Arabidopsis thaliana: one gene and its partners. The protein of the gene in region 1 interacts with the protein of each later gene in a pairwise test. Each region holds a gene or a part of one and is shown in the gene's direction. Other genes may lie near its edges.

Region 1 (6,195 bases):
TATACAACATTTTATTGTCATAACTATATAAGAGGAGTGTGTATTTTTACATATAAATGTTATAATTAATTATGTCGTAGAATGTATGATTGAGGAATTTGATGGACCTAAGTACCTAACACTCATTTATTCACAATCTTATCATTTAATTTTGTTTGATTCTAATATCAGGTTTGATATTCTATACATGGCCAAGGAATTTGTGATTCACAAGTTTACCATCTTTTCAAAATCATGTAATGATTTATGCTACGAACTAAATGATATATTTAAATAGACTTTATTTATGTTAATTATATAATATGATAAATATAGCTAATTCTTATTGATACTAATTATATTGTTGAGGTTCTATCATTAATTTACGTGGTGAAACTGCAATTTGATTTGCGGAAATGATCTTATATCATTAGAAGGAACAACTAGGACACTGCTCTTTTACATATGTGCGAGTTTTACCAATAAGATATTGACTAACTACGAGACGAACATTAGTATTTGCTAATGTGTTTCGCTGATTTTCTAGGTTTTAGTCGTGACGTGAAATTCAGTAAGAAGCACAACGAAATGCCATCGGCTCATGTGTGTGAAAAAATTAAAAATTTATGGGCTGAACAATTCTAATTGCATGATGATTCGGGTTTAATTTAGGCCTCTGGAAAATCCAGGGCTTATTTCCATGCAAAATCTTAGGTCAGTATTGGGCCCGCCTTTCAAAAGCCCAATTTTAATTATTCGTTTTTGTTGTCCGATAAAAAATCCAGAAGAAGTCATCTCTCCCCTTAAAAACGGTAGTCAAAACTAAAAGACTCAAAGTGATTTCCAGTAAGTTTTGTAGAAAATAAAATAATTGTGGCCATTGGAGATTTAGCAAGGCTCATGGAAAAGTGATTGTTCTTTTTTCCCCATGATTCTAGTTATAAGGCCATCCTTGATGCATACATCAACACCATGACTGGTCCAAAATAGCATAGGTCTAAAGATGATGAAGCAAATGATAATCAGTTTATTCCGATAGAAGCAAATGAGGATGTCATCAATTGTGGATGTTATACCTGATTAGTTAAGCAAACCATTAGCACTATGTTTAGTTAGAAAAGAAGGAAATTATGATAGCCATAAAAATGCCAACATTTTCCCTTTTAAATTGCATTCGTGGTTTTTGAAATTTTATTATTTAATTAATTTGTTTTCTTTCAGTTGTCATTTGAATGGTTATCATAATTCGGTCTTATATTATTGATTTTTATTATTCGTTAGGTTTTTTTCAGTTGTCTGATGGAAAATTCAGAAGCCACCACTTACAAATCAAAAGTATAAAAAAAGACTCAAAAGAAGACTCCAAAATCCAAATAGTTTTTCTCCATTTTTTTTTTCTTTTTCCAGAAATTATAGTTATAGAAATAAATAGTTGTGGCCGTTGGAGATTTGCATTGGCCACGAGTCATGGAAAAGTGAATGTTCTTTTTCCATGATTCTTCTAGTCGGTCATGCTTGGTGCATGTATGAACACATATTTAAAGTTCTATACAAGTTGTTAGAATTCTTTTAAATTTAATTTGCTTTATTTATTTTTTTAGTTTTAGTTTTGGAAAATCATGGTCACACATCTTGAGCTACCGTTGTTATTTATATATAAATGTTCTTAATATTAAAAAATTATGAACCACAGGGCTAATAAACTTGAATATTTGTAGGGTCAATGGCTTTATTAATGTGTATATTTGTAGAAGAAAGCTGGGAAATATTCTATAAGTAAATTATCATCTTATACACTAATTTTTTAAAAATCCACGCCTAGTAATAAATTCCAATTTTTTTTAACTCAGTAATAAATTCCATTTTTTATTAAAAGTTTATTTCATAGAAGTACTTTTTTTTTTATGTGATAAAAGAAAAACTGAAGAAGGCCAATGAAAAATGAAGATCCCAAAGACATAAAAAGTGACAAAAGAGAAGAATAAAGAAAGACCAACAACACCACTTGGGGGAGGCTCCCATACACAAAACGAAGGCGCGAATTTCAAGGACTCTTCTCGACGACCAAACCACATAAAACACTCTTACCAGAATTTGTGTTGTCTTCGTTCATTTCCTTCTCCTCTTCTTCTTCTTCTTCGTCGTAATTTTGATTGTTTCTTTGCGAAAAGTCGTTTTTTTAATCAAGTCTGAATCACGTTTTATTGATCTACACTCGCGTGGGTTCTCCGTTTCGTGCTTAGATCAGAGAGCTCCCTCCCGTGATTCCGTAAGATTTCTGCGTTTCTCATTACTTGGTTTCATTTCAACGTAGATTCTGAATTTTGTGTGATCTAGTCTACACATTTTTTTTTAATTCTTTCCTCTGCTCCTAAATTCCAGAATTCAGACAACGGTTGCGATATTTCTTATGTCTTTTTTTCTATCGTTGTTCATTTCAGAAGTTTCGATATAAAAAAGGTTATTGTTGGATTTTGAGTAACACATTGTCCTCAATTCTCATCGTTCTTCAATCAAATTTTGGATTTTGAGCATCATGGATGATGGATCTATGCATTTTGATTTTATATTGTACAGAAAGAATGTTTCTTGTTTTGTTTTGATGATGTTTTCTTATGACAACAATCTTCATGTTTTTGTAGGAGCTTTAAGGTCGGAAATGGCGGCTCATGTTTCTACTGGAAACATTCATAATTTCTATCTTGCGGGGCAGGTTTACAGGGGACAAGCTTTTTCATGGAGTTCTGCTTCTACTTTCATGGCAAATCCATTCAAAGAGCCCTCTTGGTATCACTTCTTTTAATCTTTAATCCCAAATTTTGTCCCTTTTGTGTAGCAATTGGCATTTTGAGGTTCATGTTTCTCATTTATGATTTTGCTCTTTGTTCTCATGTAGAACTTTAACTAGTTAGACCTATAGTTTCTCATGCTGGACTCAAACTTTTATAATCTCTGTGTGCATATAGGTCAAGTGGGGTATTTAAGGCTCTAAAAGCTGAGAGATGTGGTTGTTACTCTCGTGGTATTTCCCCCATCAGTGAGACCTCAAAACCTATCAGGGCTGTTTCGGTATCTTCTTCAACAAAGTATTATGATTTCACTGTGATTGGTAGTGGAGTAGCGGGTCTGCGTTATGCTTTAGAAGTTGCAAAGCAAGGAACAGTCGCAGTGATTACCAAAGATGAGCCTCATGAGAGTAACACAAACTATGCTCAAGGTGGTGTTAGTGCTGTGTTATGCCCTTTGGATTCTGTTGAAAGTCATATGCGGGACACTATGGTCGCTGGTGCTCATCTTTGTGATGAAGAAACCGTAAGAGTAAGTTCCCTTTGTTGCTGATCATTACCTCAAAACTGTTTGATAAGTGCTTGTGTTAGTCTCGTGCATAAGCATTTTGTAATGGTCTAAACCTGTCTCACTTTTCTGTATCTGAATGTTCTTTTTCAGGTTGTGTGTACTGAAGGGCCTGAAAGGATTCGTGAACTGATTGCAATGGGAGCATCATTTGATCACGGCGAGGATGGAAATTTGCATTTGGCCAGAGAGGGTGGTCACTCGCATTGTAGGATCGTTCACGCTGCTGATATGACAGGAAGAGAGATTGAGAGAGCTTTACTTGAAGCTGTACTTAATGATCCCAACATATCTGTCTTCAAACACCATTTTGCAATCGATCTGCTCACTTCTCAGGTTCCACTTCACACCCTTGAAAAACACATGTGCATATATGATCAATTGGCTTATCAGATCATATCTTTTTGTATCTTAACAGGATGGCTTGAACACAGTTTGTCATGGTGTGGACACTTTGAATATCAAAACTAATGAGGTACACAAAGATCTTGTTTCTGGTGGTTTGATCATTCACCTTATATCTTAGATTGTAATGTAAAAAAAACTCATGTTTCTTCAGGTAGTACGCTTTATATCGAAGGTGACATTGCTTGCTTCAGGTGGAGCTGGGCATATCTATCCATCAACCACAAATCCTCTGGTAACATTTTCTATAGACTCTCTTTTTAACAAAGCTCTATGGAAGTTTCATTTTACCAATTTTATCAGAAGAAAGAATGTGCAGGATCAACACAACAGTTTTGTGTGTTTATGGGAAATATCCAAAAATGAAACTTTGATTAAGTAATGTGATTTATCCCTTGAATACAAAAGAAAATGTCGAAATTATCACGGGTATACACAAACATACTGCATTAGAGTTTTAGATTTAATAGTTCAAACAGTTGCAGAAACAAAGAGATTTTAGTCATAGAGTACATTTTTTTGCTAAATTCGGTTGTGCTAGTCGCAATGATATTTCTCTAAAAGTGATATATTATGCTCCATTTTAATTATCGACATGGTTTTTGTATAGGTGGCTACTGGAGATGGGATGGCGATGGCTCATCGAGCTCAAGCTGTGATCTCAAATATGGAGTAAGTGAACACCGAAAAACCGACTGAAGAAACTTGTTGACAATAAACTTATGTTTTGTATTTGTTTTTGGTTAGATTTGTGCAGTTTCATCCTACTGCCCTAGCCGACGAAGGTCTTCCCATCAAACTACAAACTGCTAGGGAAAACGCGTTCCTCATCACCGAGGCGGTGAGAGGTGATGGTGGCATCCTCTATAATCTAGGAATGGAGCGATTCATGCCTGTTTACGATGAACGAGCTGAGCTTGCTCCAAGAGACGTGGTTGCAAGAAGTATTGATGACCAGCTTAAGAAACGAAACGAAAAGTATGTGTTACTTGACATAAGCCATAAGCCAAGAGAAAAGATTCTTGCCCATTTCCCGAACATAGCTTCTGAATGTCTTAAACACGGTCTGGATATCACCCGTCAGCCTATTCCGGTTGTCCCTGCAGCCCATTACATGTGTGGAGGAGTTCGTGCTGGTTTACAAGGCGAAACCAATGTCCTTGGATTGTTTGTAGCAGGTGAAGTAGCATGTACAGGCCTCCACGGGGCAAATCGTCTTGCTAGTAACTCGCTTTTAGAAGCTCTGGTTTTCGCGAGACGGGCTGTTCAGCCTTCGACTGAGCTCATGAAACGCACAAGACTTGATGTATGCGCATCAGAGAAATGGACAAGGCCTGTTGTTGCGACAGCTAGATTGCTAGGAGATGAAGTAATAGCAAAGATTATAGCTTTGACTAAAGAAGTGAGAAGAGAGCTTCAGGAGGTAATGTGGAAGTATGTTGGTATTGTCAGATCGACAATTCGGCTCACCACTGCTGAGAGGAAAATCGCAGAGCTAGAAGCAAAATGGGAAACATTTTTGTTTGAACATGGATGGGAACAAACAGTGGTAGCTCTTGAAGCTTGTGAGATGAGAAACTTGTTCTGTTGCGCTAAGCTTGTGGTGAGCAGCGCGTTAGCTAGACATGAAAGCAGAGGTCTTCATTACATGACAGACTTTCCTTTTGTGGAAGAAAGCAAGCGGATTCCGACGATTATTCTACCGTCTTCTCCTACAACAGCTAGTTGGAGCTCAAGGCGGTTACAGAATATAAGTAGCAGCTCACTTATTGATTGCTAAAACTGCAGGAGTTTTTGTTCTTATTTGAATCCAAACCTCTCTGATTATTGTATCAATTTGAAAAAATTTGGATCTCAAAAGGAATCTCTGATTCTGACACTCTGTAATACAAAAGGAAATAAATTATTCATTTGAGATATCAATCATATTGGTAATTCATATTTCAATTCCTTTGTTATGGTTTATTGATGACTTTCTGAATGAAAGAAACAACTGTGAGTGTGGATTTCCCAAGCAAGAAGCAGGATTGAGAACAGTCTTGTGTTCACTGACTCCATATCCTCGGTTCCTTTTTTTTCTGAGTAAATCATTCCAAAAGCTTCTATCCTTCTCCTGAGGAAATCACGAGCTCCAAGCTCGGGTATGGCTTCCATGACCAGACCAAACATGAATTCATTCTTCCTGTCTTCTTCAACTAGACCAGGGTGTGATCTGAGAAGGCTGCACAAAGGCACATCCATTAATAATCAGAGATCTCTTCTGCAATGTCGCTTTAGAACAGCCTAGTTACTAGTTACATCCAGAAACCAGCTAGATCATAAGTCTTGCCTGCTCTGCAGCTGCCATCGCCGTTCTGCTACAATGAAATTCAAAGGGTATTTTCAGGAGATAGTTTTGGCTCGTGCAATTTGATTTAACAAAGAATAAAGATATCCTGAATTACAATGTGAAGAAGT
Region 2 (3,874 bases), on another chromosome or scaffold:
GAAGACATTGTGTCGTAATCGTGTGTAATTTCACTATCTTCCAAATAAAGAAATATAATAATTGCTTCTTGAATCGGATGAGCTACACGTTTTTAGATATTTCGCAACCTGTCTTCTTCGTTAGATCTAGGAAACATTGATTTATAGAAATATGTTTCTATTATTTCTCTATTATTCATTCAACATGTTAATATCGCCACCACTCAAATATATTGACCATGTCAATTGTTTGATTGAACTATAAGTTTGATAAACAATTGTCAAATTTATAAAAATTTAAAAGAGAAAATACATTTATATGAAAGAAAAGAAAAGTGCAAAAAAGAAAGAACAAAGGATAAATGAGAGGTCGATTTTGTTTAGGAGGATATGGAATTGCTTCCAAATTTAGCAAAGAAACATAAATGTTTTTGCCCCTATAAAGTCTTTAAACGTTATTCCAAATCTGTTCCAACATGTCCTCTTCATCCGACACATTTCTTATCCTCTTCTCTAATTTTTTTTGCTAAAATTAAATCGAAAATTGAAAACGAATTTTTGAGAACTATGTAAGATATTTTTTTTCTTCCAATAACAACAAATTACCAAACAACTTTTTGTCGTTTTGTTACTAAATAAGTGGTACAATGAAATTATAAGTGATACAATAAAATCATTTGACTTAGATATAATAATATTCAAATTAAAATGACAACAATACACAATAAAATTATGAGAATTCTTCGAATCATATCAAAAATTAATTTTTTTTTTTCGATAACAATAAATTATTAAACAACTTTTTGTCGTAAGATTATTTTTTCCTGATAACAATAAATTATTAAATAATTTTCGATCGTTTTGTTGTTAGATAAATGATACAATGAATTCATTTCAACAACTTAGATACAACAATATTTGGATCAAAATGAAAATTATAAACAAAGTATCATATATCTTTGTATCATATCAAAAACAAGATCATTTTTTCCGATAACAATAAATTATTAAACAACTTTTTGTCGTTTTGTTGCTAGATAAGTGAAACAATAAAATCATTTTGACGAATTAGATATAACAATATTAAGATCACAATGAACAATAGTAAACAACAAATTATCAGATATTTTGGTATTAAAAATAAGATTATTTTTCCGATAATAACAAATTATTAAACAATTTTTTTATAGTTTTGATGCTAAATAAGTGATATAATGAAATTGTTTTGACGATTTAGATACAATAATATTAGGTTCAAAATGACAATACTAAACAACAAATTATCAGATCATATCAAAAATAAAATTATTTTTTTCGATAACAGCAAATTATTAAACAACTTTTTTTTTATTGCTAGATAAATGATACAATAACCTCATTCGATATATATAATAATATTCAAATCAAAATGACAATAATAAACAATAAATTATTATATTGAATCATATAAAAAATAAGAGATACATGCAACGAATAATTAAACAAACAAATTAAGTAATAAGGCAATGGATAGACTAATTAATGAAACTAAAACTGTGGATTATCTATTTTGTCGTCTTTCGGAGAATCTAAACTTCGACCGACTTCAACGTATCTAATAATCCTAAAGTAACCTTACGCTCACAGTTCGGTTACTTTAAACTTCGTCAAAGTCATTTTGATAAACGTCCACATCACGAAACGGTCCACGTACGTCTATCTCGTGGATAAGTCTCCAGCCGCTGTTTCACATGCTTATCTCACAGCTTTGTTACGATAACCTAGTCCTATGCTAATATCTTTAACCATAGTTAAATAATTTTAACCAAACCACGGTTAAGTGTTTCAACTACATAAGTAGCTTTGCCGGTGTATTACAAACAAACAACACAAACAAAAAAAAAGAACTCTTTCGTCGACTAATGTGATTTATTGTTCACCGGAGTATTAAAGAAGATGATGATCGGAGAAACTCGCAGGACTTATCCCACTGTTGAAATACCTCCATGGCCGGTACTTGAAGAGCTTACAACGTCGGAGTTTTTTTCTCCGGTGATGAATAGTCCAGATTGTAGCATGCTTGAAGCTTTGGCGGGGTTGCAGCGTTATTTGCCGTCTAACGAACCGGATCCGGAGTCATACCCGGATCTATTGGGTCCGGATTCACCAATCGATGCTTACTCATGCGACCATTTCCGTATGTACGATTTCAAAGTCAGGAGGTGTGCTCGTGGCCGGAGTCATGATTGGACGGAGTGTCCGTACGCTCATCCCGGAGAAAAAGCTCGCCGGAGAGATCCGAGGAAGTACCATTACTCTGGTACGGCTTGTCCTGATTTTCGTAAAGGTGGCTGCAAGAAAGGTGACTCTTGTGAGTTTGCTCATGGTGTTTTCGAGTGTTGGCTTCATCCAGCTCGTTACCGTACTCAGCCGTGTAAAGACGGTGGTAACTGTCTCCGGAAAATTTGTTTCTTTGCTCATTCACCGGATCAGCTTAGGTTTTTACATACTCGGAGCCCTGACAGAGTTGATTCTTTTGACGTTTCGTCTCCGATTCGTGCTAGAGCATTTCAGCTGTCGATTTCTCCGGTTTCTGGTTCGCCACCGATGAGTCCAAGAGCTGACTCGGAGTCTTCTCCGATGACTCAGTCACTGAGTCGATCTCTCGGGTCTTGTTCGATAAACGACGTCGTTCCTTCGTTTAGGAATTTACAGTTTAATTCGGTAAAATCATTTCCTCGTAACAATCCTTTATTCGGATTCGGGTCGCCCCGTGGATCGATCTTGGGTCCTGGGTTTCAGTCTCTGCCTACAACACCGACCCGACCAGGGAATCTGGATATTTGGGAGTATGGTTTGGAGGAAGAACCCGTAATGGAGCGTGTCGTTGAGTCGGGTCGTGAGCTACGAGAAAAGATGCGCGAGAAACTGCACAAGGAGAATTGCATGGATCGAGTTGCCCAGGATCCGGATCAGAATTTGGGTGAGGCTCCTGATGTCGGGTGGGTATCTGACCTGCTCATGTAAAGAAAAAAATCTGACCGTATTTCGAAGTCTCATTGGCTTTTTTGGATATCTTCCAAGGAAAAGAGGAAGGGATCTTAGTGTGTTCATATTATTTTATTTACTAATCTCGTATTTTATCTGCTAATAAGAATTAATTATGGATTTTGGGGCCTGATTTTTCTAAGATGATCGTTGTATAGATGTGCCTTAGGGTTTTAATTATGAAATAGTATTAATATAATCGTGTTTTATAAGACTATAATGTTAGATTGTAACCACTTGGTACTAATCTATGAATGAATGCAAATTATTATCTAATACTTTGTTGTGTTTCCCTAGTTTTTCTTGATCCAATATAAATATCTTTGTTGTGAAGTTTTGTTATAATTGAAGTTTTGATGATCTGTTTAACGTCGAAATCTCTTGTTAGGAGTTTGACTGTGTTAAATGTTTGAACGCGTCAAATCCAAATGAGTTAATAACCTATAAGTTGCAAGTAAATGACTTACCAAAGGTTTTGTTAAAGAAAAATTAACCAATAAAAGACTTGTTCGATGGTTTCGGTAGCGTTTGGGCGAATCATTCGATTGTGACTTTATCCAATATAATTTGGCGATTTGGCGATAGCATGGATAAGAAAATGACATTGACCAACGAGATCATTTGCAATCGCGAAGAAAAGTCGGGTGTTTTAACTAAACCGGCACCAATGTTTGTTTTGATAACCGGAAATCTAAACCGATCTTGACAACATCACAGAATGGCTGCGTTCTTTTTCTTTCTTTTGTCAGCAGGTAGCCAGGTATTGAGATATTTTGGTATTTGACATTTGGAATAGTATTTGTTATCATTAGAGGTTTTGGGACAGTTACGGCAAAAACCAATATACTTACTTTACTAATGACAAAAA
Region 3 (4,499 bases), on another chromosome or scaffold:
TTATATATCATGAATCATGATCATCCAATTTTCCGGATAAGCCAAAGTCAAAATGATGGGTTCCCCCTAATCTTTTATGCTGAGAAATAGATGTATATTCTTAGATAGTAATATAAAATTGGGTTAAAGAATGATGATTCGATTATAGCCTCAACTAGAAGATACGTGTAGTGCAGGTGTGTAGTTAACTGGTGGTAGTGGCAGACAACCAGATTAGGAGTTAAATAAAGCCTTTAGATTTGAGAGATTGAAATATTCGATTGGAACCTTTCTAGATTTTTACAGCCATCTAAAATTAGATGCAGATCACCTACTACCATTCAAAAATGAACAAAATAATTTCATTTACATTTTCCTAGCATAAGATATAATAATAAAATAGTGCTCATTTTAATTACTTTTTCTAAATATTTTCGTTATTTTAAATTTTGCTTGTCTATACTCTACAGCTCATTTAATAACGGAAACAAAAATAATTGCAGGGATACGGATGGGTAGCTTTCAAAACTTACATCATCTTCTGTTTCTTGAGATCAACTATTTTTGGAGCTTTGTCTCAATCGTACCAAAGGATAATGGTCCTACCTCCTTTTGCATTCTTAACTTTATCTTCTCTACTTATTTCTTTTTTGGGATTTTTGGGGGTATTATTTTATCTTTTGTAGATATACACATTGATTTACTACAAACGTATACTACTATCCATCTTCAACTCTTCGGAATATGATTTCGAAAAAACTATGAAGATTAACGGGTATCTTAAACATGTTAAGATACACCGGACAATTTTCATTTAGAAGAATTGATATGCAATTAACAATAAATAGTTGATGATCTTTTAGTTTTGAAGATGTGCGTTAAGACTTAAGCGTGTGGTAACAAGGTGGGACTCGGGCAACGCAAAGCCTTGTAGAGTCCACTTGCTCAACTTGTCTTTCTTTTATCTCTTTTCCAAGTCTCAAGATTCAATGAACTCCGTGTAACACAAACACGCCCATAGATGAGCTCATTTTTGGTATTTCCAATATTGCCACTCCATGATAATATCATCTAGGGATGGGGTTCATTTATTTTGAAATCTCAACAAATCTCGTCGATTCTAACACACATGATTGATTTGTTTACTTACTTGAAAGTTGGCAACTATCTGGGATTAAAATTTATCTTTTTCTACTGCTAGCTAGAAGCATCTATATATGTTAGCCTAATACGTGGAAGATGTCATTGCTAATAATGGCTAAAGATGTGTATTAATTTTTCTTCTTTTTTCCTTGAATTTTTGTTCTTTGACATAAACTATGCTGTCAAAATGTGTAGAATCTTTTTACATAAATCATTCCCTGTTACACACTAAAAGGTTCACAACGGACGATTGTATTGGACTTCCAGATCATAAACCATGCAAAACTGAAAACCACAAGAATAATTAGTTCTAACTTTAGAACGTTCGTACGTGTTTCATGTTCAAAAAGCGTCAATTATAAAAGTTGGGAAATTACTTTTGAGTTTTGACATTTCTAAGGACAGTCAAATATGACAACATTGGGATGCAACTTACCTTGTATTAACTTATTTTGTTATAAAACCATATATTACATATTTTAAAGGGTTGATAAATAATCAAATATACCAAAACATAGCTTTTCAATATATTTGTAAAACACGTTTGGTCTACTAGCTAATTATGAGAACATTTGTTCAATGCATGATTATCTAGTATCTACTAGTGGATTATGAAAATTAGATATTTTCATTGCATGATTATCTTCCATATATAGTGATAACATCAAAAGAATCTACACCAATTATTGCATTTTTTCATTATATAATAAGCACTAAACTGTAAAATTATATTCAGCCACCCAAACCATGACAAATCACCTTAAAGGCTTAAACACATAACAGCCATTACGAGTCACAGGTAAGGGTATAATAGTAAAGAATCAATCTATATAATATACGACCCACCCTTTCTCATTCTTTCTGGAGAGTAACATCGAGACAAAGAAGAAAAACTAAAAAAGAGAACCCCAAAGAATCGAATATTTATTATTTCGCCCCGAAGATTCTATTTCTGATCATTTACACCCCTAAAAAGAGTAGAGCTTTCGTGAAGCCACCATGTGTGGAGGAGCTATAATCTCCGATTTCATACCTCCGCCGAGGTCCCTCCGCGTCACTAACGAGTTTATCTGGCCGGATCTGAAAAACAAAGTGAAAGCTTCAAAGAAGAGATCGAATAAGCGATCCGATTTCTTCGATCTTGACGATGATTTCGAAGCTGATTTCCAAGGGTTTAAGGATGACTCGGCTTTTGACTGCGAAGACGATGATGATGTCTTCGTCAATGTTAAGCCTTTCGTCTTCACCGCAACTACTAAGCCCGTAGCTTCCGCTTTCGTCTCCACTGGTATATATTTGGGTTTGATTCGAATCTCAACTTTTATTTGAATTGGAAAGCTCATGAAATTTTTAGATCTTTAGGTTTTCAGAGGCTTTTCTTAGTTTATAGCTTAGTCTTTGGAATTGGTTGATCTCACTGGTCTTGTAACCATCTGCTGTTACTATGTTGATTATATACCAGCTTACCGTCCTTAGCTCCTGAAGGGATGCAGTTTTGTTTGTTCTATTCAGCTTATGATTGATATTGTGTGTGTTTGGCTACAGTAGGTTCAGCATATGCCAAGAAAACTGTAGAGTCCGCTGAGCAAGCTGAGAAATCTTCTAAGAGGAAGAGGAAGAATCAATACCGAGGGATTAGGCAGCGTCCTTGGGGAAAATGGGCTGCGGAGATCCGTGATCCGAGAAAAGGCTCCCGAGAATGGCTTGGAACATTCGACACTGCTGAGGAAGCAGCAAGAGCTTATGATGCTGCAGCACGCAGAATCCGTGGCACGAAAGCTAAGGTGAATTTTCCCGAGGAGAAGAACCCTAGCGTCGTATCCCAGAAACGTCCTAGTGCTAAGACTAATAATCTTCAGAAATCAGTGGCTAAACCAAACAAAAGCGTAACTTTGGTTCAGCAGCCAACACATCTGAGTCAGCAGTACTGCAACAACTCCTTTGACAACTCTTTTGGTGATATGAGTTTCATGGAAGAGAAGCCTCAGATGTACAACAATCAGTTTGGGTTAACAAACTCGTTCGATGCTGGAGGTAACAATGGATACCAGTATTTCAGTTCCGATCAGGGCAGTAACTCCTTCGACTGTTCTGAGTTCGGGTGGAGTGATCACGGCCCTAAAACACCCGAGATCTCTTCAATGCTTGTCAATAACAACGAAGCATCATTTGTTGAAGAAACCAATGCAGCCAAGAAGCTCAAACCAAACTCTGATGAGTCAGACGATCTGATGGCATACCTTGACAACGCCTTGTGGGACACCCCACTAGAAGTGGAAGCCATGCTTGGCGCAGATGCTGGTGCTGTGACTCAGGAAGAGGAAAACCCAGTGGAGCTATGGAGCTTAGATGAGATCAATTTCATGCTGGAAGGAGACTTTTGAAGTGATCGATGGTTCCTTAGTTTGTAAATAAAGCTGTGTTGGTGAGTTACAGTTACAAGCTCTTCTTGTTGAATCGTAAAGACAAACAACCTAAGTGTTGGTTTCAGGATTAATCTTCTGTCGTTCTTTTTTGGTTGTTTCAGGATTTTGCTGTTGGGGGATGGTACAAGTCACACCTCAAGCTCTATGCATTGGTATCTCATGAGCCTCTCTTCCATAGAGAGTTTCTCTTTTAATTTTGTCGAAATAAAAAAGGTGTGATGAAGTAAATAGAGGTATAATAATATCTATCTATTAAGTCTTGTTTTGTTCTTTCATTTTTGTATTTCTTTTCTATTTAAAAGACAGTTTATTAGTCTTCTGAGCTCTCTTTTTGATCTTTGTTATAGCGTATCATCACCCTCGAAAGTGTAATGTTTTGTACCCCCAAACTTGTTTAGCATTATAATAAAGTCTCTTTGGAACTTCTCTATCTGTTCAATGAATCTTCTCTGCCTAACTTTGCTTGATTGATTTTGAGAAATATGCCTTATTTATTCATTAGTTTTGAATAATTCAAACAACTTTCACTTTAAAAGCAATTAGAAAGATTCTTCGTACACCTCGAAAACAATAGATTTAAAAAAGCTTCAGGAAACAAGACCGAACCAGACAAAGAACGTGCCTGGTAATAAGGAAAAATGAGACAGAATTGAGTTTTGTCCTGTAAACTTTCTCGTGAACCATTTGATGAAAATACAAAAATAATAATACACCCACATGGCCACATTGCTTACAAGAAAATATTGGAAATCATCAAAATGATTCTGTAGGGTAACTAAAGGCTTAAGGCTGTCTAGATGAAGATTCATTGTTCAATCAACGAGTTTGCGACTAATTCTTTTCCCAAGTACACCGTGAAATTCCCATTATCATAAGACAACATTTTACTATGGATAACAGAGAAACCAAAACTAGTTTTCCAATCTATGACACTATGACAGTCTGAGTCGT
Region 4 (4,449 bases), on another chromosome or scaffold:
GCTGAAGAAGTTTTCTGCACTGGAACTGCCGCTGGAGTTGCTTCTGTTGGAAGCATCACTTTTAAGAACACAAGGTCTCTTCTTCCTCTCTGGATACATGTATACATATGCTTAGAATTTTACATTTATCTGTTGATAAATAATCTGCAGGACTGAGTACAAAGTTGGAGATGGGATTGTTACACAGCAACTTCGATCTATTCTTGTCGGAATACAAACTGGTTCTATCCAAGACACTAAAGATTGGGTTTTGCAGATTGCCTAAGTTACTTTCATATCCTATAAATAATGTTGCACTCTCTTGATCACCCATCAAAAGCTTTTGAAATAGTTTTTGGTAAATTTGTGACATAAATTTGTGATATATCACCACATCGTATTAGTATTAAACATTTGTTTCACTCTTCCAAAGAGACAAAAGCAAAACTAAAGACCTTCAACTTCAAGGTCAGGATATGTAATCTAATGGTTTGTCTTTGTGGCATTTTGCCACCATTGGTTCAAAATACCATTGCTGTATGATCAGCCTCCTCAGATTCTATTTGCCAGACTCTACGGCGGTATATTCGCTTTTAGAAAAAAAACAATTTTGTCGAAACTTTTTTTTTTTTGTAAATATTGTAGATTCCACACACAAGACTGTCTAAGATTCTTTGATAAGACACGACAAATGCGATTTAAGATTTTTCAAAGAAATGAGGTTCGTTGATTGTTCCACTAGGTTTGGTATATTTATAATTTGAATTTTTTTTTTTAAAGATATTTATAAGAAAACGAAGGAGTGTGCTCGCGTCAAGTGTGTACTAATAGTCGATGACACTAGTGATACGACGATACTGGAAAGGGACATCAATATTCATTAGTAAGCCATCTTAGCAAAAACGTTGTTATCAGATAAGAAAAGTTCTCAGACTGACGTGGCTGTCAATCTCCACAACGTGTTTATCTCCCATTTGGGTAGTTACGGACAAAGACGTTGAAAAGACAACAATATGGTCTAAAAGATTGACATGGAAAGAAAATTGTTTATCCGACAAAGACCTCTTGGTCCAACGTGGCTTTCACATCACTAGTTTACTATTTCACATCTCATGGAAAATTACTGAAATTAGTACTTGTCTGTATTTTGTTTTTTCGTCAAGTATTTGTTTGTATACTTTAGGTAATTGCGTGCCGAAGAAACATTGCTAAATTGATATTTATACCAACTTACAATAGTTTACAGTTCAAAAATAGAAATCTCCATTTTGAAGATACACCACTAATTTTCTTCATTTATTTACCCCATAAGAGAACGAGAAAAGAACAATAGTCCGTTGATTTCGTTAAAATCTAGTTTCAGAAAGACACGTCTAGATCTGTCTGATCAGGGCAGATAGACACAAGTGACGAAGCAAAAGAAACACAAAAATAAGATAAGAACTCTTACCACTAAAAGATAAAAATAAGAAAAAAAATAAAACAAATTCAACGATTTGCCAAGATAAAAGCAGACACTGTACATAAGCTCCGCATTCACTTACGTGTTGGATACTTAATTTGACACTCTTCTTTGTGTTTTCTCTTCCACCTTCTTTTTCGGTATATCATTCAACAAAATTCTCTCTTCATTTCTTTATTTTGTTGTTTTTTTTATTATTATTGAAATCAAGAGAATTAAAACAGAGGCTCTGCAAAAGAAGATGATCAAAACAATCACATCTCTACGCAAAACTCTGGTTCTACCTCTTCATTTACATATTCGTACGGTATAAACTGGATTCTTACAATCTAATGATGATTACTTACTTAGAGACATAACTCGGATCTCAGATACAAACATGTTTTATGTTCTGTTTTTTTTGTCCTGATGAAATAGCTACAAACTTTCGCCAAGTACAACGCACAAGCTGCATCGGCTTTGCGAGAAGAGCGTAAGAAACCTCTTTATCAGTAAGTTCTCTTTTTCATGATCCAGCCAGGTCATATAGATATTTTGTTACCATTGGAAAAAGCTCTGTTTCAAATTTGTTGTAATTGTATCATATAGAAATGGAGATGATGTATATGCGGATTTGGATTGGGATAATCTCGGGTTTGGTCTAAATCCAGCTGATTACATGTATGTCATGAAATGCTCAAAAGACGGCGAATTCACTCAAGGAGAACTTAGTCCCTATGGGAATATTCAGCTAAGTCCTTCTGCTGGAGTCTTAAACTATGGACAGGCAAGGATCTCGTAACCCCCAAATGTTTCTTGATTTGTTTCTCAACTGTATGATCAATAGAGGTTTTGGGATTCTTTGCAGGCGATATACGAAGGTACAAAAGCATACAGGAAAGAAAATGGGAAGCTTCTTTTGTTTCGTCCGGATCACAACGCTATCCGGATGAAGCTTGGCGCTGAACGGATGCTCATGCCTTCTCCTTCGGTTGATCAGTTTGTTAATGCAGTTAAACAAACCGCTCTTGCAAACAAACGTTGGGTAAAAACGCTTTCTTGTGACGTATATTTCTTCTGAAGAGGTTTGTTTTTGGGATCTGATAAGTGATGATGTGTTTGTTCAGGTTCCTCCTGCAGGGAAAGGGACTTTGTACATTAGGCCTTTGTTGATGGGAAGTGGTCCAATACTTGGTTTAGGTCCTGCACCTGAATATACATTCATTGTCTATGCATCTCCAGTTGGTAACTACTTCAAGGTATATACAATACTCTTGCATGTCCATGCTTTTTGGCGATGGAACGATTAGCAAATGTTTTGTTCACTGATTTGTAGGAAGGGATGGCTGCTCTTAACCTCTATGTTGAGGAAGAATATGTCCGAGCGGCTCCTGGTGGAGCTGGAGGCGTCAAGAGCATCACAAATTATGCGCCAGTAAGTGTTGAAACCAACTTAGTTTCTCAAAGACCAGAGTCAGAAAAAGAGTTTTGATAAACCACGTGTTTGTAGGTTTTGAAAGCACTGAGCAGAGCCAAGAGTCGGGGGTTTTCAGACGTTCTTTATCTCGACTCTGTCAAGAAGAAGTACTTAGAGGAGGCTTCTTCTTGCAACGTCTTTGTTGTCAAGGTAAGATATATTGTGGTGTCTCCATGTCTCTTTGTTGCATCCTAATTGTATCATTGATTCAGGGTCGGACAATCTCAACTCCTGCAACTAATGGAACAATTCTTGAAGGGATTACGCGGAAAAGTGTGATGGAGATCGCAAGTGATCAAGGTTATCAGGTAACACAGATAAGATTGAATCACTCTAAACACCCAAAAACTAAACTCAGCTAAGTTTCACACCTGAGTTATGATCAGGTAGTAGAGAAGGCAGTTCATGTGGATGAAGTAATGGATGCAGATGAAGTTTTTTGCACCGGAACTGCTGTAGTAGTTGCTCCCGTGGGCACTATCACATATCAGGAAAAAAGGTAAATCTCAATGCCTGAATCAAGTTTTACTCAAGCCTTAAGCAAAGAAATGGACTGATGTAATCTTTCTGAAACATTCAGAGTAGAGTATAAAACCGGGGATGAATCTGTCTGCCAGAAACTGCGTTCAGTCCTCGTAGGTATCCAGACAGGATTGATTGAAGATAACAAGGGATGGGTCACAGATATCAACTGAAGAATAACAATCTTCAATATTTTGCCACAAAGGAGATTACTCTGCATTTTAAGCTGTGTATACACGACAATGAAGAACACTATAAACATATATATGAGATAGAAACAGAAAGCTCTTTTGCTCATTTCTATATCGTAAAGTCAATGTCTTTCACAAAACTATGACAAAGAAAAGAATCGTCTATTGTACTTGTAGACAAGTGTTTCCAAGGATAGTTTCATTTCCTCCTGCAGTAACTCCAAATTTACATTTCATTTTAGGAGGCAAAACTGTATATACGTTTCAATGGCTTTCCCCACTTCTTACTTTCATCACCCATAAGGGTTTCAACTACTAAAATTGTAACTCAACTGCAAAAACACCTTTTCATCTGCAGAGTTATAAAGTATACATTGTAACTCAAGTATCTATGTTCGTTTGTAGATCTCGGCAAACCCTGGGGAATTACGAATTGGGGAAGCACTGGGACAGGATTTCACCTCAAGATCAAGACCAGATTTACTTCTCTGGAACTCCCATATGTAATCAGCTTTAAGATTCTCTTTCTCAGGCTTCAACTCTTCAGAATCTGGTAACTCCTGATCTGAGCAAGGAGAAGTGCAACCAGCTTTGCTGGATTCTTCAGAACACGTTGGTATCTGAGAGTATGCAACTTTCAAGTTGTTATGTATCTCTTCCATCTTTCCTGTCATCTCATCTGCTCTGTCCATAGCGATAAGAATCTGAAAGAAACTCATACATCAATATCTCTCAGGAGATGCAAATCGAGGTTATGAAAAGATGAGTAATATATATATATATGTATATATACCTCGGCTGGATATTTCTGGAATATGGGCGCAAACCTTTGCCGGCAA

The links.
Region 2: the proteins of AO (region 1) and OZF2 interact in a two-hybrid assay, tested with the Arabidopsis thaliana proteins (one large-scale study listed by BioGRID).
Region 3: the proteins of AO (region 1) and RAP2.2 interact in a two-hybrid assay, tested with the Arabidopsis thaliana proteins (one large-scale study listed by BioGRID).
Region 4: the proteins of AO (region 1) and BCAT-2 interact in a two-hybrid assay, tested with the Arabidopsis thaliana proteins (one large-scale study listed by BioGRID).

The regions. Positions count from the first base shown.
Region 1 is NC_003076.8:4,766,495-4,772,689, forward strand, and holds AO (L-aspartate oxidase), read left to right. Parts: upstream 1-1,768; 5' UTR 1,769-2,248; intron 2,249-2,621; 5' UTR 2,622-2,638; coding exon 2,639-2,766; intron 2,767-2,945; coding exon 2,946-3,297; intron 3,298-3,426; coding exon 3,427-3,669; intron 3,670-3,751; coding exon 3,752-3,808; intron 3,809-3,892; coding exon 3,893-3,973; intron 3,974-4,348; coding exon 4,349-4,410; intron 4,411-4,485; coding exon 4,486-5,518; 3' UTR 5,519-5,659; downstream 5,660-6,195. UniProt on the Arabidopsis thaliana protein: Catalyzes the oxidation of L-aspartate to iminoaspartate. Can complement nadB-deficient E.coli mutant. Plays a role in stomatal immunity.
Region 2 is NC_003075.7:14,391,344-14,395,217, reverse strand, and holds OZF2 (Zinc finger C-x8-C-x5-C-x3-H type family protein), read left to right. Parts: upstream 1-1,836; 5' UTR 1,837-1,914; coding exon 1,915-2,985; 3' UTR 2,986-3,369; downstream 3,370-3,874.
Region 3 is NC_003074.8:4,736,623-4,741,121, reverse strand, and holds RAP2.2 (uncharacterized protein), read left to right. Parts: upstream 1-1,985; 5' UTR 1,986-2,121; coding exon 2,122-2,422; intron 2,423-2,667; coding exon 2,668-3,506; 3' UTR 3,507-3,547; intron 3,548-3,649; 3' UTR 3,650-3,976; downstream 3,977-4,499.
Region 4 is NC_003070.9:3,286,573-3,291,021, forward strand, and holds BCAT-2 (branched-chain amino acid transaminase 2), read left to right. Parts: upstream 1-1,514; 5' UTR 1,515-1,682; coding exon 1,683-1,748; exon of another isoform or gene 1,749-1,858; coding exon 1,859-1,932; intron 1,933-2,029; coding exon 2,030-2,207; intron 2,208-2,288; coding exon 2,289-2,465; intron 2,466-2,547; coding exon 2,548-2,679; intron 2,680-2,756; coding exon 2,757-2,855; intron 2,856-2,930; coding exon 2,931-3,047; intron 3,048-3,109; coding exon 3,110-3,205; intron 3,206-3,283; coding exon 3,284-3,396; intron 3,397-3,477; coding exon 3,478-3,592; 3' UTR 3,593-3,899; downstream 3,900-4,449. Other genes in the region: BCAT-1 (branched-chain amino acid transaminase 1), read left to right, coding at 1-74, 151-265; AT1G10090 (Early-responsive to dehydration stress protein (ERD4)), read right to left, coding at 4,000-4,314, 4,404-4,449. UniProt on the Arabidopsis thaliana protein: Converts 2-oxo acids to branched-chain amino acids. Shows activity with L-Leu, L-Ile and L-Val as amino donors and 2-oxoglutarate as an amino acceptor, but no activity for D-isomers of Leu, Ile, Val, Asp, Glu or Ala.